Linked DNA regions of Sus scrofa. The protein of the gene in region 1 interacts with the protein of each later gene in a pairwise test. Links are inferred from orthologs where the notes say so. Each region holds a gene or a part of one and is shown in the gene's direction. Other genes may lie near its edges.

The links.
Region 2: the proteins of PSMA1 (region 1) and TRIM10 interact in binary tests that used the Homo sapiens proteins (3 or more experiments, as listed by UniProt). The two-hybrid records come from large-scale screens. The link is inferred for Sus scrofa from reciprocal best matches to the Homo sapiens genes PSMA1 and TRIM10.
Region 3: the proteins of PSMA1 (region 1) and HSD17B14 interact in binary tests that used the Homo sapiens proteins (3 or more experiments, as listed by UniProt). The two-hybrid records come from large-scale screens. The link is inferred for Sus scrofa from reciprocal best matches to the Homo sapiens genes PSMA1 and HSD17B14.
Region 4: the proteins of PSMA1 (region 1) and HOMER3 interact in binary tests that used the Homo sapiens proteins (3 or more experiments, as listed by UniProt). The two-hybrid records come from large-scale screens. The link is inferred for Sus scrofa from reciprocal best matches to the Homo sapiens genes PSMA1 and HOMER3.

The regions. Positions count from the first base shown.
Region 1 is NC_010444.4:44,738,268-44,743,964, forward strand, and holds the start of PSMA1 (proteasome subunit alpha type-1), read left to right. Parts: upstream 1-1,834; 5' UTR 1,835-1,968; coding exon 1,969-1,971; intron 1,972-3,752; coding exon 3,753-3,797; intron 3,798-4,356; coding exon 4,357-4,458; intron 4,459-4,844; coding exon 4,845-4,948; intron 4,949-5,697. UniProt on the Homo sapiens protein: Component of the 20S core proteasome complex involved in the proteolytic degradation of most intracellular proteins. This complex plays numerous essential roles within the cell by associating with different regulatory particles.
Region 2 is NC_010449.5:22,724,241-22,729,386, reverse strand, and holds part of TRIM10 (tripartite motif-containing protein 10), read left to right. Parts: 5' UTR 1-669; coding exon 670-1,101; intron 1,102-3,783; coding exon 3,784-3,879; intron 3,880-4,451; coding exon 4,452-4,682; intron 4,683-5,146. UniProt on the Homo sapiens protein: E3 ligase that plays an essential role in the differentiation and survival of terminal erythroid cells. May directly bind to PTEN and promote its ubiquitination, resulting in its proteasomal degradation and activation of hypertrophic signaling.
Region 3 is NC_010448.4:54,140,878-54,146,790, reverse strand, and holds the start of HSD17B14 (17-beta-hydroxysteroid dehydrogenase 14), read left to right. Parts: upstream 1-2,647; 5' UTR 2,648-2,820; intron 2,821-3,180; 5' UTR 3,181-3,258; coding exon 3,259-3,346; intron 3,347-3,869; coding exon 3,870-3,908; intron 3,909-4,101; coding exon 4,102-4,184; intron 4,185-4,721; coding exon 4,722-4,803; intron 4,804-5,913. UniProt on the Homo sapiens protein: Catalyzes the NAD(+)-dependent oxidation of L-fucose, yielding L-fucono-1,5-lactone, which rapidly converts spontaneously to L-fucone-1,4-lactone. Can also act on D-arabinose and L-galactose, with lower catalytic efficiency. Does not use NADPH.
Region 4 is NC_010444.4:58,912,084-58,917,852, forward strand, and holds the start of HOMER3 (homer protein homolog 3), read left to right. Parts: upstream 1-1,865; 5' UTR 1,866-2,073; intron 2,074-2,601; exon of another isoform or gene 2,602-2,738; intron 2,739-3,591; exon of another isoform or gene 3,592-3,635; 5' UTR 3,636-3,699; coding exon 3,700-3,713; intron 3,714-3,801; coding exon 3,802-3,958; exon of another isoform or gene 3,959-4,011; intron 4,012-4,217; coding exon 4,218-4,349; intron 4,350-5,769. UniProt on the Homo sapiens protein: Postsynaptic density scaffolding protein. Binds and cross-links cytoplasmic regions of GRM1, GRM5, ITPR1, DNM3, RYR1, RYR2, SHANK1 and SHANK3.

The DNA.
Region 1 (5,697 bases):
CCAAGCACTAGCTGCAACCTACATCACAGCTGCAGCAATGCTGGATCCTTAACCCACTGTGCCACAGTGGGAATTTCCCTACGTAATATTTTTAAATGATCATTTATTTAGTCATTCATCTAATATTCATTACTCATTCATTTAACTATATATTAAACTCTTAATACATGCTAGGCATCCTGCTGGGTGCTGGGAAAACAGAAGAGAACAATCAGTTAATTTAGTCCACTAAAATAACAGTAATTTTGAAAAATGACAACAATCAGTATTGGTGAATTTAAGAAGGGGAGCTCTCTCATATACTACTGTTGAGAATATGTTTTGGTAAAATATTTCCGGAAAGCAATTTAGCACTTTTGGTTTTGTTTGTTTTTTTTTGGCTGTGCCTGCATACAGAAGTTCATGGGCCAGGGACTGAACCTGTGCCACAGCAGTAACCAGAAAACTTTAGGTCCCTAACCTGCTGAGCCACCAGGGAACTCCTTTTTTTGTTTGTTTGTTTGGTTTTTGTAACACTTTTAATAAAATTCTTAGAAATAGCCATTTCACTAAATCCTTTGATTTTCAGGAATTTATTCTAAAGGAGTATAGATGTACACATAAAAAAATATATCAAGCAGCTCATAAATGAATTTCTTGGGAGAGGGATAATTTTGGTTTTTTTTAGGGCTGCACCTGTGGCATATGGAAGTTCCCAGGCTAGGGGTCCAGCCGGAGCTGCAGCTGCGGGACTATAGCGCAGCTCTCAATAACGCCAAATCCTTAACCCACTGAGAAGGCCAAGGATCTAACCCGCATCCTCACGAGGACAATGTGGATCCTTAACCCCCTGAGCCAGACAGGGAGCTCCAGGAGAGGGCTTAAATATTAAACTTAAATATTAAACAATGGGGGTTTCGGTAAATAAAATATCATATGTTCACAATGCAGAATATCGGGAATCTTGTTTAACCTAGAAAAATTTTAATATAAAAAAGTGTCCAAAATACATGTGACAAGGTTTTTAAAGTGCGATACCAACTTGCTCTAACTTGAACAAATCATTTAAGGGAGCTGAGTCTCTTCATTGACAAAGCTTAGATCCTTAAAGACCCCTTTCAACTCTTACCTGAGTCTAGGTACTCATCCTTTCTTCTTCGTAAAGAAAAGAACTCATCATTGGCAGTCAGTAAATTTTAGGTTGGCAGCTGTTTGTAGAGCTATCCTAAACTATTTTCTCTGAGAATTTACTAAAAGATGTTCGCAAAAAGGAAAATACCTATTTCGGAAGAAGATGTCCCTCAGTTGCCTATTCTTTCAGGCATCGTGCTTGGTTTTGACGGCAAAGACATTAATGCCCTCAAAAAGTTTAAAGTCTGATAATAATGATAGTGATCAGTGACAACAACGCCTGGAAAATAAGGAGTAAGGAAAAGGATTCCAAAGTAGAAAGAAAATCATGTCCAGAAACAAGATACTCCAGGAAGAGTACCGTTGACACGAAGAAATGGACCATTATTTGTGGTCTTTTTTTGCAGTCCTGTTCTTCTCGCTACCCAACACCACAAATCTCTGTGGACGCTGAATGAGAGGCTGAGCAGTACACCAGGAATCTCGGGTGCATCCGGCCGGGCCGGTGAGAAACTGACAGGAATCTACAGCTCACAGGTAACTTCTCTGAGGATCCAAGAAAGGCGACTTGATAGTGGCCACCCAGCGACTATTAGCTCCCGCGGGCGTTCCTGGCCCAAATTTTCCCGCCAATGTGAGTTTCTCAGATTTCCCAGGCCCCGCCCACTCCCGAGCGGGCGGAGAGCTTTGAGGGCGGGGAAGCGCCGGAAGCCTATCGCTATCTCTAGAATAGACTGCTCTACCCTGCGCCGACGCATAGTCCCGCAGACTTCTCTGCAGATCGCCGAGCGGTAGTTTCGGCAGCGCTCCTTGATCTGCAGGTTTACCGGAGGCCGTGACTAGGCTCTCGCCGGAACCATGGTGCGTTGGATTCCGAGCTCAAACAGGGTTGGGGCACAGGCCCGCTGGCTGGGGGTTGGCGAGTGATCTCTCTGTCACTCTTAGAGCGGGCCGGGGCTATGGGACATGGGAACCTCAGCCGATGGGGGGTTCTGGAGTGATTCAGCATCTCTGGCCTGGCCGGCACAGGGGAAGTCGGTAGTCGGTGCGGCCTTTCCCCTGGGTTTGTTTCGCTTTCCATCCGGCCTTGAACAATACCTCCTCGGTCTGCTAGCCGAGTTCGCCCCTCAGTTTCCTTCAGTCGAGTAGATTCCGAGCGGTCCAGAGGGGCCCCTAGTGCTCTGTGTGAGAGAAAGGAAAAATTGGGATTTGACTTTTGGAATCTCCCTGTATAGCCAATAGCAGAGTTGAGAGCTCAATTCTCTTTTAGAGCTCAATCAGAAAAGGCCTTTTTTCAGTCACTTATCCAGTTAAGTATTTTTATGAAAGAGTAAACTGAAGCTGATAGAAGTGATAGAATAAGGGTTACAATATAGGGCTCAGAGCTTCCAGTCCTATGTCTACCATTCCAGCAGTCAGCCTTCTCACCCTAATGATTGGGCTCCCAAGTACTGTGCTGGCAGACTCATTTTAAGCTGTCTTTAAAGCTGTAATGGGTCCGTCTCTGTGGCTATTTGTGTCCACTTCTGACTTTCTGGGGACATTCTTGTGTGTACTCATTCTATAACAATGTTTTAAATGCACTGTTTTAACTACAGTGAAGGTTCAAAGATAAATCAGACACGTCCCTAATCGTAATATAAGGTCGAAAAAAAAGGTGTAGATAAAGGAATGGTAGGAGTATGTGTTGGGATTTGGGGAGGAAAGATGGAGAAGGCTTCAAGAGGTAGACATTTGAGGTATTTAAGGAAAAGGAATGCTTTTTTTTTTTTTTTTTTTTTTTGTCTTTTTGCATTTTCTAGGGCGGAATCCGCGGCATGTGGAGGTTCCCAGGCCAGGGGTCTAATCTAATCGGAGCTGTAGCCCCGGTCTACGCTAGAGCCACAGCAACGCAGGATCCGAGCCTCGTCTGCGACCTACACCACAACTCACAGAGGCGCCAGATCCTTATCCCACTGAGCAAGGCCAGGAATGGAACCCGCAACCTCATGGTTCCTAGTTGGATTCGTTAACAACTGAGCCACGACAGGCACTCCAAGGAAAAGGAATGCTTTTGATCGTATTAGGTCTTGGTATCAGGGAAGAGAATAAGCCAAAGATAGAAAGGAGAGTGGACACATAGGAACTTTAGTAATTGACTGAACTCAAAGGCAGTGCAATGGACAGTGGTAGAATTGGAATTTGGGAAGATAGGTCCCATCTGGCTCTGCTCTCCCCTCCCTCACAAGCTCCTTGTAAATGTAAAATTGGCTTGCAACTAAGTACAGTAGAAATCTTCCAATGAGGTTGCAGTAACAACCTTTCATTAATGTTGGATGGAAATAGACTAGAAAATTATTATTATTATTATTTTCTTTTTTTTTGCTTTTTAGGGCTGCACCCAAGGCATATGGAAGTTCCATAGGGGTCCAGTCAGAGCAGCAGCTGGAATCTGACCTATGCCACAGCTCATGTCAATGCCAGATCCTTAATCCATTGAGCAAGGCCAGGAATCAAACCCTTGTCCTGATGGATACTCGTTGGGTTTGTTACCAATGAGCCACGATGGGAACTCCAGAAAACATTTTTGAGTGATAGAGCTTGTTAAGATTTGGGTTTTGTAATGTTCTTGTATTAACAGATTTTTTTTCATTTACTTTCAGTTTCGCAACCAGTATGACAATGATGTCACTGTTTGGAGCCCTCAGGTAAAATGTTTTATACTGTTTCTACAAAGTTGCTTTTGGTGGCTGCAACTTAAAAATGTTTTGGATAGTATGCTGTGAGAAAATATAATCATTTTAGACATTCCTGTAAGTTTCCTAGTTTTAAAGAACATCGTTTGAGGTTTAGCTATTCTTACCTGAAATTTGGGATCTCTGAGTTAATTTTTTTTCTGCATTTGATCATATGGGGATATTTATGTCATTTTTAAAAAATATAATTGTTTAAAAATATAGTTGTTTTACAACGTTGTACTAATTTCTGCAGTACAGCAAAGTGACCCAATCATCCATATATATATATACACATTCTTTTTCTTGTATTACTTCCATTGTGTTCTGTCCCAAGAGGTTGGATATAGTTTCCTGTGCTATATAGTAGGATGTCATTGCTTATCCATTCTAAATGTAACAGTTTGCATCTACTAACCCCACACTCCCAGTCCATCCTACTCCCTCCCCCGTCCCCTCTAAGTTAATTTTAAATCCATGAAAGGGTCTTGTACAATGACTCTAAGGTGTATTGGGTTTTTTTCCTTTTTAGGGCAGGATTCATCAAATTGAATATGCAATGGAAGCCGTCAAACAAGGTTCAGCAACAGTTGGTCTGAAATCAAAAACCCATGCAGTGCTGGTTGCATTGAAGGTAAGTAAAGCAATAAATATATCTTCCTCTTTTAAAAAAGAGCTACTGGGAGTTCCCATTGTGGCTCAGCGGTAACAAATCCAACTAGTATCTATGAGGATGTGGGTTCGATCCCTAGCCTCACTTAGTGGGTCAAGGATCCGGCATTGCTGTGAGCTGAGGTGTAGGTCACAGACACAACTAGGATCCTTTGATGCTGTGGCTGTGGTGTAGGCCAGCAGCTGCAGCTCCAATTCAGCCCCTAGCATGGAACTTCTATATGCTGCAGGTGTGGCCCTAAAAAGCAAAACAAAAAACAACAAAAAACCCAACTATCAAATGTAAGTCTCACTATGTAGATAATAAATTATAAACTTGTTTTTCTGTCTTAAATAATGTCTATTTAGAGGGCACAATCAGAACTTGCAGCTCATCAGAAAAAAATCCTCCATGTTGATAACCATATCGGTATCTCAATTGCGGGACTTACTGCCGATGCTAGACTGTTATGGTGAGTATGATCATGAAAAACAAAGGAAACATCTCTTGATTCATAATTGATTATATTCTAGAAAAGATCCAGATGTTTTACAGGTATTCTATTCTGCCAGAATGTTTAGAAGATTGTGTATACCTTAGTGAAGTTGGGCTCAGTTACTCAGTATCCCATTTCTTGATCCTCTGTGTAGTAACTAATAGAATTAGCCATACTAATATTAATGCCTTTGAGAAGTCATTCAATGATGTGATACTTGTTAACTCAGTGTATAGTGTTTGATATTATGTCTGAGAAGAGCTTGACACTTTTGTTGGGTTTGCGAGGATCAGATGAACCACCTTTGCTTTCTCTAATACACCAGTATTTATTTGATGTTTATTTTTTGCAAAGCTCAGTACTGGATGCTGCAGGGTGTAAAAAGTGAATGAGATATAGATCTCATCTTCTAGGAAATTAGAATCAGTTCTATGTCTAATACACAGAAGAAAGTGGAGAGTAACAGGTATACTTCTGTATGGGACCAGATAGAGATTATTTCTATTTGAGAGGCATTATGTAAATGAAGAACTGACATTTTGGAATCACACAGACTTTAGTTTCCACTTTTATTTATTTGTTTATTGTTTTTATTGACTTTTTAGGGCCGAATCCATGGCATATGGAGGTTCCCAGGCTAGGGGTTGAATCAAGCTGAAACCGCCAGCCTGCAACACAGCCATGGTAATGCCAGATTTGAGCTGCATCTGCGACCTACGCCACAG
Region 2 (5,146 bases), on another chromosome or scaffold:
ACCCCCTTGGAAGCCTGTAGCAGGCCAGTGGGGGCATCACTGGCAAAGAGGCTTGTGCCTTGTCCCCACCCCAGGCAGGACGCCCTTATCAGGGTCCCCATACTCCCCTGGGTCGGCTGATACCGCCAATCTCCCTGGAGACAGCTGGTCCTATTGCAGGGAGGCGGGGGTGGCATCCCTGCTCTGTGACCCAGTCTCCCTCCTGCTCCCCAAAGAAGAACAGTCTCTTCCAACTGTGGATGGTTAAGATACGATCGCTTTCCTTCTGCTGCGAATGTCTCTGGCTAGACAGGAAGAACAGCAACTCGCAGGTCGTGGGCTGGTCCGGAGAGAAACTGAGGTCATCTCTGGGATGCTGTGACCCCTTCTCCTGCCTCCTCTGCTATTTCTCTGTCTCTGCTGGAGGAAGGTGTGTGTCTGTTCCTGTGGGAGGGGGACAGCAGAACCCTGGCTGCCGGAGATGCAAGTGGCTGTCTTGCCTTTGTGCACACGTGTGTGTGTGTGACCACGAGGGTGTCAGTGGGTATGTAAGAGGTCTCTGTGTCTGGCCGAGTGCGTGTGTGGGTGTGTGAGTGTGTGGTGCCTGTCCTCATTGATCTCCCAGTCCCCCGCACGCCTCGAGCCAAGCAGAGAGGGTGACCTTGAAGAGGCCCCAAGCCCAGGAACACCATGGCCTCAGCTGCCTCCGTGAGCAGCCTGGCTGATGAGGTCAACTGCCCCATCTGTCAAGGGACACTGAGGGAGCCAGTCACCATCGACTGTGGCCACAACTTCTGCTGCGTCTGTCTCACCCGCTACCTTGAGATCCCCTGCCTGGATCCGGGGGAGCTCCCCACCTGCCCGCTCTGCAAGGAGCCTTTCCGCCCAGGGAGCTTCCGGCCCAACTGGCAGCTGGCCAGCGTGGTGGAGAACATCGAGCGGCTCAAGCTGGGGTCCCAGCTGGGCTTGGAGGAGGAGGAGGACGTCTGTCTGGAGCACAGGGAGAAGGTCTACTATTTCTGCGAGGACGATGAAATGCAGTTGTGCGTGGTGTGCCGGGAGGCCTGGGAGCACCGCCACCACACCGTGCGCTTCCTGGAGGATGCAGCGGGGCCCTACCGGGTAGGAGAGGGAACACGGAGGGGTTCCGGGGGTGGGGGAGGGGACTGCCATCGGACCGGACTAAGAGCATCAGAGCAGAGGTGTGGATTATTTGAGCCACTCTGAAAAGAAATGCAATCTACTATCATCACCCAGGCGATAGAGCTTGGGTGGGAGAGCTTGTGTTTGCAGGACGTCCTAGGTTGTTTATTTATGGCCAGGACATCAGAGTAGCTCAGTAAATACACGTTGGATGAATGAGTCACCCAAACATGAGTGTGTGCGTCTGGGCCTTGGATTAGTCAAGTATGATGCACAAACACGGTGTGCAGGTATTCATGGGTGCACGTTTATCACTGTGTGTGGAGTGTTTGGGGGAGATCTGACTCTTCGAGTGTGCATGTGTAACAGTGCTCGCATTTTGTGAGTCAATTGGGGTTTACATATATGCAGGTTGAGTAAGCATATGTGGTGTGTAACTTTCTCTGTCGTGAAATGAGTATATGCTGGTTTTAGTTGTTTATGCATTGTGTTTAGTACAAGCAGGTGTCTGTCTTTTTTTTTTTTTTTTTTCTCTTTTGTCTTTTTTTTTTTAGGGCTGTGCCTGAGGCATATGGAGGTTCCCAAGCTAGGGGTTGAATCGGAGCTGTAGCCGCTGGCCTACACCACAGCCACAACAACACCAGATCTGAGCCACATCTGCGAACTACACCACAGCTCAAGGCAATGCTGGATCCTTAACCCACTGAGTGAGGCCAGGGATTGAACCTGCATCCTCATAGATGCTGGTTAGATTTGTTTCCACTGAGCCATGATGGGGACTCCATGAGCAGGTGTCTGTGTGTCAATTACTTAATTAGCATTTAATGGTGAGAATTCTGAATATATTTTGAAACGTACTTATATGGACATTTATGTGTGTACACCTGTTCCTAACTCTATTCTAAAGTGAACAATTTTTTAAAAATTCATTGATTATTTTTGCACTATTCAAGATTCTCTTCCCTTCAGAATCATACCTAGAGGGAGTTCCCGTCGTGGCGCAGTGGTTAACGAATCCGACTAGGAACCATGAGGTTGCGGGTTCAATCCCTGCCCTTGCTCAGTGGGTTAACGATCTGGCGTTGCTGTGAGCTGTGGTGTAGGTTTGCAGACGCGGCTCGGATCCCTCGTTGCTGTGGCTCTGGCGTAGGCCGGTGGCTACAGCTCCGATTCGACCCCTAGCCTGGGAACCTCCATATGCCGCAGGAGCGGCCCAAAGAAATAGCAAAGACAAAAAAAAAAAAGAATCATACCTAGAAAGTTGATTCTACTCACAGAAGAGGCGGTTTGGATGTGTTCCTTTTGGGACATGTGGGAAAGTTGGGATAGTTTCAAAGACGGGCCTAGCAAGCTCAGGGCAGATCCCAGATACCACTTTTTTTTTTTTTTTTTGACTTGTTGTTGTTGTTGTTGTTGTTGTTATTGTTGTTGTTGTTGTTGTTGCTATTTCTTGGGCCGCTCCCGAGGCATATGGAGGTTCCCAGGCTAGGGGTTGAATCGGAGCTATAGCCACCGGCCTACGCCAGAGCCACAGCAACGGGATCCGAGCCGCGTCTGCAACCTACACCACAGCTCACGGCAACGCCGGATCGTTAACCCACTGAGCAAGGGCAGGGACCGAACCTGCAACCTCATGGTTCCTAGCTCTTTTTTTTTTTTTTTTTGCCTTGTCTAGGGCCACTTCCTGTGTCATATGGAGGTTCCCAGTCTAGGGGTCTAATCGGAGCTATAGCTGCCGGCCTACACCAGAGCCACAGCAACTCAGGATCCAAGCAACCTCATGGTTCCTAGTCGGGATTCGTTAACCACTGAGCCACGAGGGAACTACTGGATATCACTTTCTAAAGGCAAAAGAAATTAGGGTGTTTATCTCGAAGAGATTAAGGCTCAAGTGGGAATATGAGTCATAGCCTCTGATGGCACAAGATAAAGGGGAAAATTCTTGGCAGACGAAGCAAGCAAAGACTCAAAGAGAGTAAGCTGTCAAGGACAATGATGACCCAGGCATTGTCAGCTAAGGGAGTGACTTAATCTCTTGGGTCATTCCATTCCTGGAGGCAGAGATGATACATCTTAAGTCATTGTTTCTATCTTAAAAATTAAAATAAAATTAGGAGTTCCTGTTGTGCTCAGCGGAAACGAATCTGACTAGGATCCATGAGGACACAGGCTCAATCCCTCGCCTTGCTCAGTGGGTTATGGATCCAACGCTGCCATGAACTGTGGTATAGTTCACGGACACGGTTCGGATCTGGCATTGCTGTGGCTGTGGTGTAGGCCAGCAGCTACAGCTTCAATTTGACCCCTAGCCTGGGAACCTCCATGTGTCACGGATGCGGCCCTGAAAAGACCAAAAAAAAAAAAAAAAAAACCAATTAAATTGAAGTATAGTTGATTTACAAAGTTGTGTTGTTTTCCAGTGTACAGCAAAGTGATTCAGTTACACACACACACATAGAGAAATACACATATGTGTAAAACCTTTTTCAGATTCTTTTCCATTATAGCTTATTACCAGATACTGAATCTAGCTCCCTGTGCTATACCATAGGCTGTTGTTGTTTATCTGTTTTATATATAGTGGTTGGTGTCTACTAATCCCCAAATCCCAATGTATCCCCCTCTCCCTCATCTTAAGTAGTTTATGCTCCTTCTCTCCAGGAACAAATACAGAAGTGTCTTGAGTGTCTAAGAAAAGAGGGAGAAGAGATTCAAAGAATCCAGTTAAGAGAAAACCAAAGGATACAAGTCCTCCTGGTAGGTCATCACCCCCTCCCTGGTCCTCTTCTCTTCCTCAGGGTCTGGGGTCACTCTGAAACCAAGGCAACATAGCATAGAGGGCTTTGAAGGCATTCTGAGTTCAAATCCTGGCTGGGAAACTAACTAGCTCTAGACCTCAAGCAATCCTCTATCCTGTTCATTTTTCTGTGGCGATTAAAGATGGTCACTACCTGCTGGATGGCTATCAGGATTGTAATGCAGTCTAGTGCTGAGCACACAGTATGCATCTTGTAAGAGGCAAGAGGCCAGTGTCCTCCCCGCCTCCTCCATGCCTCCTGTGACCCTCGCCCTTTTAGCAGCTGGCAGAAGGTGCCAAGGTGATGCTGGGCAGTTTAGCTCCTGGAAATGGCATGGAAGGTGGAAGGGAAACCATGCCGGTGTTCCAAATCTCTCTGGGGACCCAGAGAGGGGGGTTCTGACTTTACCACAAAACCTTGGGGGATGTGGATCTGGGCCAGGGGGGATGGGTGTGAATTAAGGAAAAAGAAAGAAAAGCAAGTAGAGGAAGAGGAGGAATGACTTTCTAGCCTCTCCTCCTGTCCCCTCAGACTCAGGTGGCCACTAAGAAACAAAAGGTGATTTCTGAGTTTGCACATCTGAGCCAGTTCCTGGAGGAACAGCAGAGCGTCCTCTTAGCCCAGTTGGAGAGGCTGGATGGGGACATCCTGAAGCACCGGGACGAGTTTGATGTCCTAGTCGCTGGGGAAATCTGCCGGTTTAACACCCTGATCGAAGAATTGGAGGAGAAGAACCAGAGGCCGGCAAGGGACCTCCTGACGGTGAGATCTGAGCTCTGCCCCCGCTCACCTATGATTTTTGGCATCTTTGCCCATCTAAGCCATCTCTCCTGCACGCGCACATCTCTGTATCCCAAGTGGAAGATGGGTCACAGGACCCAAATTCTGAATTCAAAGAGTCCTTGCGTCCCCAAGAGCTCCCCGGTCACTTTGGTCCCTGGGCTTGGTATCTTCACCCCACCATCCATCATACAGGGAAGAGAGGTTGTTTGTTTACCTCACCCATACTTTGCTTATTTGTGAGGATCCAGCAGTAAAAGGGAAGGTGGCACTTTGAAAAGCATCAAGCCCTATGCAAACAAATGTCAGGTGCTATTTCAAAGGCAAACTATTTTCTGTGTCACCACCTGCTAGTCAGGAAGTTCTTCCTGGTCCATCTCACTTCCTGGAACCGGAGGAGAGGTACTGGGGTCCCAAAAAGGCATTGGGAAGGCAGCATGATTTGG
Region 3 (5,913 bases), on another chromosome or scaffold:
CACGCCATGGCAGTGACAATGAGGGATCCTTAACCTGCTGAGCCACCAGGGAACTCCAGGAAATTGATTTTTTTTTCTTTCTTTTTTGGTAGTCTCTGGTCCATGGGTCAAATCTGAGCCAGAGCTGTGACCTACACCACAGCTGCAGCAATGCCACATCCTTAACCCACTGCCCTGGGCTGGGGATCAAACCGGCGCCTCCACGAAGACAAACTGGGTCATTAACCTGTTGAGCCACAGTGGGAACTCCAGGAAATCAATTTTATTCACACGGTTACCAGGGGGAGAACCCTCCAGGTCTGAAGATCAGGGTGTCTGGGCAAGATGGTTTCATCATAAACTTTTCTCGGGAGAAATTAGACAAGTCATAGGTGGGGTGATTTTATCATTTTTATGGTGGGGATTGTTTAAAGCGCATCTCAGTCAGCTGAACAAGCATTTATCTCTATGTCTAGCTAGTTTGGGGGGACAGAGAGTTCAGCTAATCATTTACGACAAAAGGAATGTGAATTTGGAAGGTCTGTTTCTGGCCTTGTTACAGACAAACAAGGAGGGCAGCCATCTGTGAGTCTCTCCATGAAAATCCTAATAAAGTCAAGTTAACAAGAAAAAAAGGGGAATTTTTTTGGAGCCCAGCAGGATTATTACCTGGGAGATAGACTCTCAGAAAGCTCTGAGATGAGTTCCTGTCGTGGCTCAGCGGGTTAAGAACCTGACATAGTGTCCGTGAGGATGTGATTTGAGCCCTGGCCTCGTTCAGTGGATTGGGGAATCTGGCCTGGCCACAAGCTGCAGTGTGGGTTGCAGATTCGGTTTAGATCTGGCATTGCTGTGGCTGTGGCATAGACTGGCAGCTGCAGCTCCCATTTGATCCCTAGCCTGAGAACTTCCATATGCTGTGGGTGTGGCCATTAAAAAAAAAAAAAAAAAAGCTGAGAATTGTCCTGTCTGTTAGAAGTCGAAGGTACAGTCATAGACATTTTCCAGACAAAGGATCTTACATAAAAATGACATTTGCGGAGTTCCCATCGTGGCGCAGTGGTTAACGAATCCGACTAGGAACCATGAGGTTGTGGGTTCGGTCCCTGCCCTTGCTCAGTGGGTTAACGATCCGGCGTTGCCGTGAGCTGTGGTGTAGGTTGCAGACGCGGCTCGGATCCCGCGTGGCTGTGGCTCTGGCGTAGGCCGGTGGCTACAGCTCTGATTCAACCCCTAGCCTGGGAACCTCCATATGCCGCGGGAGCGGCCCAAGAAATAGCAACAACAACAACAACAACAACAAAAAGACAAAAGACAAAAAAGACAAAAAAAAAAAAAAAAAGACATTTGCCATGTTTGGGGGGGGGCAATTTTCTCTCTTCGCTAAGCTCCTTCACTTCATCCTCAAAATGAGGACGTGAGGGCTTCCTGGGGGAGGAATTCTAATGCTCCAATTCCTTTGCAGCCTGCCCTGGGACACTCAGGAGCCAGAAATGGCTCAGAAGCTCTGGGTCCTGGAGCAGGTAAGGAATTGGAGATCCAAACTAGAAGCAAGAAAGTCAACAAAAGGGTGAGGAGTAGCATTAAGTATTAATGTCTCCTGAGTACTCTTGAGTACCAGGGTATGGATGGCAGAACATTTCAGAGACGCTTGAATTCCTGGGGAATGAGAAAGCCCTAGTTCACAGCGGTTCCACCGTTGCTGTCAAACTCTGCTCCTCTGTCGGGAAGTTTTCGGGCAATTGGACTACAGATCCCATAATGCACGCAGACTTAAAAAGAGGGTCTCGCCCTGTTCAAAATCCTTTAGAGCCATATGCTAGGGACTACAACTCCCAGAAGGACACGCTCTGCACCGTGGTCCTCACCTTACAGGCAAATTATTCAAGGCCACCCCTGCATCTTCTTTTTTCTAGTCCGAGGAACACGACCCCTTATTTACCAACATCTGAGGGTCACCGGGAGCGAGTTCTCAGCCTCTCTCAAGCCTTGGCTGCTGAGGCGTCACAGTGGCACCGAATGATGACAGGTGAGAATGGGCTGGGGACCTTGGGCTCCTGGGTGTTAGGGAAGAGGGAGTCTGGAGGCCCGGAATCCTAGGTCCTGGTGGGGAGGGGGGTCCGACGACCGCCAGAAACCCTCTGCCTTGGTAAAGAAAGAGCTGGACAGGGCTTGGGGGTTCCAGACCCCAGTAGGAGGGGACTGGATCCCAGGACTGCCGTGTCTGGGGAGGAGAGGACGGGGAGCCTGGACTCCTAGGTTTGAGAGGAAAGTCCTGGGTGTCGGGACTTCTGGGTCCCAAAGTTTGCCATTCTCGTTCTCCGTCCGTCCTCTCCAGGTGGCAGTTTGGACTCTCGAGGAGACCCTCTTCCCCCTGCGTCGCCACCTCCGTCAGATCCCACGCCCTGCGTGTCCTCGCCCCCAAGATCTCCTCCAGTGGCCAGTTCCCACTCCACGGGGTTCTCCCACCGAGGGACTGGGCGCGACGCAGGCCCGGCCTCTTGGGAGCCGACCTGGGATTCCGGGACCGCCCCTCCCGCGCTAACCCCAGACGAGGAGGCGTGGCCTCTGAGAGTCACGCTGCTACAGTCCAGCTTCTGACCCGCCCAAGCAGGGCAGCCAATCAGAGCTGGAGGGCGTGTCCCGGAGGTACTTCCGGGACAGATGGAGCCTCTTCCCTCACCTGAGGGCGTGATCTGGTCCCCTCCCGGTGGCCGAGGAGTGGCTACTTTGGCCAAAGTTTGATTTTCCCAATACTTGTCCAAATTTGGATTAAAACATTGAACTCTTAGTCGATAACTTTCTGTCTGTTTGGAGTTGTGACACCGGTGTCTCGAAGAGGTAGAGCTGGAGTGGTGAACTCCTGGGTCCCGCGGGAGGAGGGGACAGCGGACTCAGCTTTGTGTGTCAGAGGAACGGGGGGAGCTCGAGGTCTGGATTACTGAGTCTGAGGGAGGAGGGGGCCGGCGACCTGGATTCCTGGGTCTGAAGGAAGAGAGGACCCGGGACCTGGACTTTGGAGTCCAAGGTCCGGCAGAGGGGGCCGGACTCCAGGAATCCCGAGTTTGAGGGTTGGGGGACCGGCCTCCTGGGTCTGAGGGAGGAGGGGGCTGGGGCCAAGTTCCAGGCTTCTGGCTTTCCTGGCAACGCCCCCGGGGCCGGGCTTCAGGATCCAGCCCCTATTTATGGTTCGACCCCAAGACCTCACCGGACTTCAGAGGGGGATAGAAGCCTCGAGTGAGTGTGAGTGAGTGGCCGAAGGAGACCTTCTGACGCGGGATGGCAACGGGAACGCGCTATGCCGGGAAGGTGGTAATCGTGACGGGGGGCGGGCGCGGCATCGGAGCTGGGATCGTCCGAGCCTTCGGTGAGTGGGGTCTGGTCGGCTCTGAACAGTGGAGTCTGGGAGCGGAGGGACCCGGGGGCTAATGGGTGTGGGACGAAGTATCTTCTGTACTGGAATCTAGATTCTTGTCTCGTAAAATCCAATTTGCAAAGTTAACGAAGGGAAGGCAGAGGTGGCCTGGGGCCTGAGATTGCGGCGGATTTTCAAATGCCATTGACTCCCTTTCTCTGGGTCTCAGCTATTGCTACAGAATGGGGGGCCGGGGGTGGTGGTTGAAGGAATATGTCTTTTGGAGGTTTAGGGTTTACTCTAGAACCCAGGGATGGAGACTCAGGAGCCCCAGAAGTCACCTGGAATAGCCAAGGAGAAGGCTAGGCTTCTGCCTTTTGCCCTACGGGATCATCATGAGACTTTGGGGTCACGAGGGGAACAGAGCTGGGGCGGTGGTGGGGGGGGAACGGCCCTGTTCCGGGTGGCCACAGAGGGCAGCAGAGATCTTCACCAAGGTCTCTGCAGGGCTAACCTATTCCCTGTCTATTCGCAGTGGAAAGTGGCGCCCAGGTGGTGATCTGTGACAAAGACGGTGAGTGAGGGTCCCCCAGTCCTCAGCCCACTGCCTCCTCCCTTAGATTCAAGAAGAATACAGGCCCCAGCACCCTCCTCCCTCAGACCCAGGATCCAGCCCCAGCCCTCCTCCCTCAGACCCAGGATCCTGGGCCCCCAGCCCCTCCTCTCTGAGACCCAGGCTCCAGCCCCCAGCCCTTCTCTTCCTGCAGAGTCCACTGGTCGGACCCTGGAGCAGGAGCTGCCTGGGTCTGTCTTTGTCCTCTGTGACGTGACTCAAGAGGATGATGTGAAGGTGAGCGCGTAGTTTCTGTCCCTCCCCGTCCCCCTCAATCTCCAATCGTTCTCTCTCTCCCTTCACCCCGGGCTTTGCACATGCTATTCCCTCTACCCTTCCCCATCTCCTGGCTAAATGACACCTGCCCCCAGAGTCTCAGCTCAGTTTCATCGCAAAGCTTTCCTAACTCGGCTGGCCACGTCCTGTGTCTGCCGAGAAGATTCTCCTCTATCTCCCAGGCCTTCAAGGCCCCTGGTCCCTCCTGTCACATGATCTGGATCCAGTAAGAGTTCTCCTTCTCCCAGGGTTTCTCCCCTTCCCTTCATCTGCTCCCCCATCCCCCACCCTCCTGGGTCTCTGGAGTAGTGAGCTCAGGGTGTGTGTCACCAGCCCTCTGGTCTCTGGCACCCTGGCGTCCAGTCTCCTCATCTCCTGCCATGCCTGGCGATTTGGGGTCGGCCCCCACAATGTCCTGTCCCCTCCGCGGTGACTCCGCTTCTGCCACGTCTCACTTGGGGGAGCCCAGCAGGGGCGCCAATGCTGTTCACTCACAAGACAGCTTTCTCCTCAGACCCTCTTTCTGAGACCATCCGCCGCTTCGGCCGCCTGGACTGTGTGGTCAACAACGCCGGCTCCCGTGAGTTGTCAACCCGCTTCCCGGGCTCTGTCCCATTGCTGCTCTGTGTCCCCAGGCCTGTGCCGCCACCTCTTTATGCCTCAGTTTCTACATTTCTAAAATGACAATGACCACCACTGTCCTTGCCATTACAGGGTGTTGAGAGTATTAAATAGTGTAACTGGGCGGAGTTCCCGTCATGGTGCAGAGGAAATGAACCTGACTAGGAACCATGAGGTTGCGGGTTCAGTCCCTGGCCTTGCTCAGTGGGTTAAGGATCTGGCTGTGAGCTGTGGTGCAGATACGGCTCGGATCCCGTATTGCTGTGGCTGTGATGTAGGCCAGAGGCTGTAGCTCCGATTCGACCCCTAGCCTGGGAACCTCCATATGCCACGAGTGCGGCCCTAAAAAAAAAAAAAATTGTGTCACTGCTCAGCCCCCTAATCACCCTAACTGTCTTGGGCAGACAGCGTCCATCTTGCAGCCTCCGTTTTGGTTTGGTTTGGTTTGGTTTTGGCCATGGCATGCAGAAGTTCCAGGGTCAGGGATTGAATCTGCGCCACAGCAGCAATAATGCCAGGTCCTTAGTCTGCTGAGCCACCAGGGAACTCCAACCTCAGTTTCTTTAAAGTGAGGCGGATGGCTCTTTTTTTCTGTGACTGTGAACAAGTACGCTTGGCCCAGGGCTTACAGGTCTTGGTGTGGAGGCTTTGAAGGGAAATTGTCATCTGTTTCATGACTACCCTTTATAAGAATGCCTCACATTGGTAAAGCGAGGCTCAGCGAGGTGAACTGATTGGACTAAGGTCACACAGCAAGGCTGTGATGGAAAGATGCCTTTCTTACTGGCTGGACAACTTTGAGCAAATTGATTTACCCTCTCCGGGCTGCAGTTTCCTTCTCTTGTCAAGATATAAAGAGATGGCAGGTACTAGTTCATCCATTCTCTCTATGTCCTTTGGCCTTTCAATAGATGTTTACTGAGCATCCGCTATGCCCATGTTCTTTCCTAGGGACTGGGGATGTAGCGGTAAACAAAACAGACGAGGCATTTCTGTCCTCGTGGGATTCATGTTCTAGAGAAAGGAAACAGATAAAAAAAAAAGACAGCTATCTTTCATCTTCATTATT
Region 4 (5,769 bases), about 14 Mb from region 1:
CCCTGGCTACTGTCAAACCAATAAATAAATCAGGGATCCCTCAGAAAAGGCTGGGGTGGTGGAACAGAGGCGAGCAAGATCTCTTCCAAGCCCAGGATAGTCAGAGGAGCCTCCTGGAAAGGAGGCAAAGGGGCAGTGGAGCTGAGCCTGAAAGGGCAAAACAAAATATGTACCTTCAAGAAGGGCATTCCATGTGGAAGAAACAGCTTGGGTTTGCCCACCTTCTGGCCTGGAAGGAGGAAACCTCAGATCTTGGCCTGGGAATAAGTTTCTAGAAATTATACAAACTGGAATTCACCTAAAGGTAATTTGAAGGGAGCTACCAGCTCAGCTGTGCAATTCTTGTTGGGGTGGGGATGGGGGCAGACAAATATACTAGAACAAGAAAAGGAGGAGTTTCTGTTGTGGCTCAGCAGGTTAAGAACCCAACTAGTATCCATGAGGATGTGGGTTCAATCCCAGGCATTGCTCAGTGGGTTAAGGATCCCTCGTTGCCACAAGCTGCGACATAGATCACAGATGTGGCTCTGATCTGGTGTTGACTATGGTTCTGATTGGACCCCTAGCCTGGGAACTTTCATATTCCTTAGGTTCAGCCCTAAAAAGACAGGGGAAAAAAAAATGGCAAACACTTCTGAGGTTTGAGAAAGCTCACAAGTGAGTCTCCAAGCTTCAGGGAAGTGCAGGTTCTGAGGAGCCTCAGTGCTCTGTCCAAGAACTCGGTGGCACTGTGTGACTTTGGAGGGAGGAGTCTCCAGGGAAAGGGCAGATAATAGGATTGACAAGGGGGCCCCACAGGCAGGCTCGGATCAGGGGAGACTGAACTCAGTTCCAGAAGGACCCTCTCCCAGCAAGCGTATGAAGGGGTGGCTTCCCTCTGACCAGAGGTGGCAAATGCAGGCCTGTGGGCCTCCAGGCAATTTTCTCATTTGGTGGGACCTGGACAATGATGTTCCTTCCACCTCAGTCTTTGGACCCTATAACACAGCAACAATAATCCTAACCCAACCTCACTAGCATTTCTTTTTCTTTCTTTTCTTCTTCTTTTTTTTTTTTTAGGGCCACACCTGACCCACAGCACATGGAGGTTCCCAGGCTCGGGGTTGAATCAGAGCTGCAGCTGCAGGCCTTCACCACAGCCACAGCAACCTGAGATCTAGGCCCATCTGAGACTTACACCACAGCTCACAGAAACACCAGATCTTTTTACCCACTGAGCGAGGCCAGGGATGGAACCCACATCCTCCTGGGTACTAGTTGGGTTTGTTTGGGGTGAGCCACAACAGGAACTCCCCTCACTAGCATTGTTACAGTTGTTTGGGGGGATCAGGGTGGGATGGGAAAGCAGGCAGGGATTCTGAGCAGGGCATCCTGTATCAAGCCCCTTAAGTGCCTACTGTTTGCCTCTCTCTCACCTTCTTCTAGGCCCCTCTCCGCCCAAGTCTCTTTGGTTTTCTAGAAACACGCACTGAGCTCCTACCGTGTGCAGACGCCTGGACCCACAAGGCGTCAGATGTGCGCTGCCTCTGGATTCCCATCAGGTGAAGAGGGACTTGACCCCCCATCACAGGCAAAAGCAGCAGTGATGGGGAGGGTCCGGCTCACTCTTGAACAAAGGATGAGGCCACATTCTATTCTGTCCACCTAGGCCTGTCTCTGACTCCCTCCTCCATCTCTCTGTCTCTGGGTCTGGGTCTCTGTCTCCACTGCATCCCCTGTCCCCTTCTGTACCCATCTTAATATCCCGTCCACAATCCTCCCCACTTCCTCCCTGCTCCCACCCCTCCCTCTCCCCCTCGCCGCGGAGGGCCGGCAGGGGGCGCTGCGGGACGGCCTCGGCCGCCCGGGGAGGCGGGGCGGGCGGCGGCCGCGTCGGGACCGGCCGCGATGGGACCGGAGGCGGCGCGGGCGGCGGCGGCGGCGCAGACAAAGGCGCGGGCGGTGCGGCGGGCGGCGAGGAGGGCGCGGGCCCCGGAGCCAGCGAGCGAGCGGGGCGCCCGGCTTCGGGGAGTCGGCGCCGTGGGGCCGCACCCGTCTCGCGCCCGGACATTTGCGGGGCGCCGAGCCGTCAGGGTGAGCCTGGATAGCTGAGCCTGCACTGGGTGCAGGGGGTTGGGGGCGCGAAGTTCTGGGACTGGGGACAGGGCTCGGGGGTCCTCGAAGTTCCGAATACGGAGGCTGGGGGCGGATCAGGGAGCCCCGAAGTTCCAGGGCTTGAGAGGGCACAGGAACCCCGAAGTTCCGGAGTCGGGGTCGAGGAGGGCACAGTACGCCGGGTTCCCCAAATTCCGGACCTAAGGTGGAGGGGAGGCGCGAGGGGACGCCGAAATTCCAGACCTGGGGATGGAAGGGTGGCAGGGGTCCCCGAAGTTCAAGAGCCAGGGACAGCGGGGAGGATCCCCTAAGTTCTGGACCTGTAGTTGCAGGAGGTAGATAACACGTCCCCGAAGTTCTGGATCCGGAGTCAGGGGGAGGGGGGGAGGCGTAGCAGGGATCTTGGAAATACCAAGGTCCGGGATGGCACTTCCTGCATTTGGGGCGCACATGGGGCACCCCGCTTCTGACGGGTGGGGATTCGATTCTGAGCGAGTATCTCCTCAGATCCCCTGGGCTGGGGTTCCTGGGGTGGGGCTTCGCCCCCTCACGCGATTGTGGATCCAGTACACCGGGCGGGGTCAGGCCCCCCTTTGGGAGCCCCGCTGCCGGCAGCAGCGGCGTCCGAGGCGCATGACTAGTTGGTGAGTAACTTTCCCCAACGCCTAGAATCGCTGCAGGAGCATCCGGGCAGGGAGGCCCGAGTTTCTGGGACCCCCTGCGCCCGGAACCCTGGCTCAACCCGGGACCTAGCCCCAACCCTGGCCAAAGTCGCTGCCCCTCCCCCACCCAGGGGCTCCGGTTTCAGACCCTGTGACCGGGACAGCAGCTGCCCAGGACAGAGGAGGGGGGCATTCCCCCTCTGACCATGGAGGCTGCTGGGTCGGGGCCTCTCTTCCCTTAGTTTGCCTCCCCCTTCCCCCAGGTCCTCCCCTAGGACTCCCCCCCCAACCCCAGGGTGTTCAGATTAAGTGGTGAGAGGTGATGCGGACTGAGTGGTGATTGGAGGCCACCACCTTGAACCTGTTTAGCCACATCTTGTTTTTTTAACTAGGCTGAGGGCTCCCTGGGGGCTTTGACTCTGAGGTGTGCCTCTGCCCTAAGGTGGAAGCTGAGGGGTCTCTTTGTGGGTCCAGAAGGGGACTGGTTTACCAGTAGGCACCTGCCAATGCCCCACTTTTTGATGGAGGCTCTGCTTTGGGAGTGATGGATGAATGTGTCAGGAAGTACTACACAGGAGTTGGCCTTGGCCTCCTCAGCCCAACCCAGAGATTAAGAAGACTTCACTGGGGGTCTAATAACCAAGAAGATGAGAGGTTTATGCTGGTAGGAGCCACTTGGCTCCTATCAGAGGTAGTCTCCTGCCCAGGGTGTTGCAAGGGCTTCTTCTAGATGGGGAGAGTTGGGGTCTTTTTGCTGAGAACTTTGAGCTTGAAGCTCTGTGAATAGTGAACCTGGTGGTGGGTCCTGATGTTGGACATGCTTGGCCTCCCTCAGCCTGGCCTGGGGGACACTCACAGGCCCCCCTTCTCCCCGCAAAGGCCAAACCAGCAGCTCCTACCATTCTTCTGGCTGCCCCTTGGAGCCCACAGACCAGCCTGACCAATGTCCACAGCCAGGTGAGCCTCTGCCTCTACCAGCTTGACCCTTAGTCTTCTGAGATGGGGGGCATTGCCTGGCCTCCACTGAGCACCCTCTCCCCACCAGGGAGCAGCCCATCTTCAGCACTCGGGCGCATGTGTTCCAGATCGACCCGGCCACTAAGCGGAACTGGATCCCTGCGGGCAAACATGCACTCACTGTCTCCTACTTCTACGATGCCACCCGCAATGTCTACCGAATCATCAGCCTTGGGGGTGCCAAGGTCCTGGTGGGGCCTGGGTGGGGTGCCAGGTGCCAAGGATCCCAGTGACAGGGGTGGGTTCAGTTGCTGCTTTGCTGTGTGCTTTGGGAGCACGGGGTGGTGGGGGGGTGCCCTGAGTCTTTCTGGGCCTCAATCTTCCTCTTGAAATGGCCAAAGACCTCTGAGGTGCTAATACAAAGTGATACCCCCCGGGGAAGGGGTTCATGTTCATTATTACCAGTTCCCATCAACCATGAACTTTGCTTACCCTCCCCCCCAGGCCATCATCAATAGCACTGTCACCCCCAACATGACCTTTACCAAAACCTCCCAGAAGTTCGGGCAGTGGGCAGACAGTCGCGCCAACACTGTCTATGGCCTTGGCTTTGCTTCTGAACAGCATCTGACACAGGTGGGCCTGTGGGGGTACATGGTGGGAGGAACGGGGCTAGGGATGGGTCTTCTCTTGGGTGCTGGGGGACCCTGGACAGATGGCTGGGCCTCCATTTTTCCAGCTGCAGAATGGGCATACAGAATTGGACAAGCAGAAAGAAAACAGAATTAGACAAGCCAGTGGCCCCTTCCCACTTCCCTGGTTCACATCCCAGCTCTGTTGCCTGCCTGCTCTGATTTCAGAAGCACCTGCCCCTCCCTGGATGCCTGGGATGTGCTTCCTCCCCACACACGCTAGCACTACCTTCATTATCAACTTCCTCTACCCTCAGCTGTTCTAGGGTTCAGTATTATCTCTTTTTTTTTTTTTTTGTCTTTTTGCCTTTTCTAGGGCCACTCCCGTGGCATGTGGAGGTTCCCAGGCTAGGGGTCTAATGGGAGCTGTAGCCACTGGCCTACGTCACAGCCACAGCAACTTAAGATCCAAGCCGTGTCTGTGACCTACACCACAGCTCACTGCAATGCCAGATCCTTAACCCACTGAGTAAGGCCAGGGATCGAACCTGCAACCTCATGGTTCCTAGTCAGATTTTTTAACCACTGCGCCCCAATGGGAACTCCTCCCTGTTCAGTATTGTCTTACCCATTGTTTCCCTGAATGGTTAGTGTTCTCTGAGTCCTGTTGAGCTCATGAGACTTTTCTTCTAGAAGCATTTGTTTTCCTTTCTTTTCTTTTTCTTTTCTTTAATGGCCCCACCTGTGACATATGGAAGTTCCAGGCTAGGGGTCGAATCAGAGTGCAGCTGCCAGCCTACGCCACAGCAATGCCAGATCCAAGCCTCATCTGCAAAGTACACCACAGCTCATGGCAATGCCGGATCCTTAACCCACTGAGCAAGGCCAGGGATCGAACTCTCATCTTAATGGATACTAGGGTTCAGGTTCAATCCCTGGCCCGTTAACTTCTATATGCTATGGGCTTAACCAAAAAAAACCCCTTTTTTTTTCAAACTAAGGAAATTTATTTTGAAATAAAAAAAAATATATATATATAGTGTATCCTACCCTAGCTGGAAAAGTGGTAGGTAAATGTAAACTATGGCGTAACAAAAATGAGATCCGGGTGATTGCTTTCTCACTGGCTAGGGGTGCCTCTCAGAGGCTCCAAGGCCAAGACCTGCTTTTTCTTGGTGATAAAAGGATATTCAGGAGTTGCCTCCATGGCTCAGTGGTTAACGAATCTGACTAGCATCCATGAGGATGCAGGTTCGATCCCTGGCCTCATTCAGTGGGTTAAGGATCCGGCGTTGCCATGAGCTGTGGTATAGGGCGCAGATGAGGCTCAGATCCTGAGTTGCTGTGGCTGTGGTGTAGGCTGGCAGCTGCAGCTCCGATTATGCCCTTATCCTGGGAATCTCCATACGCCATGGGGTGGGGTC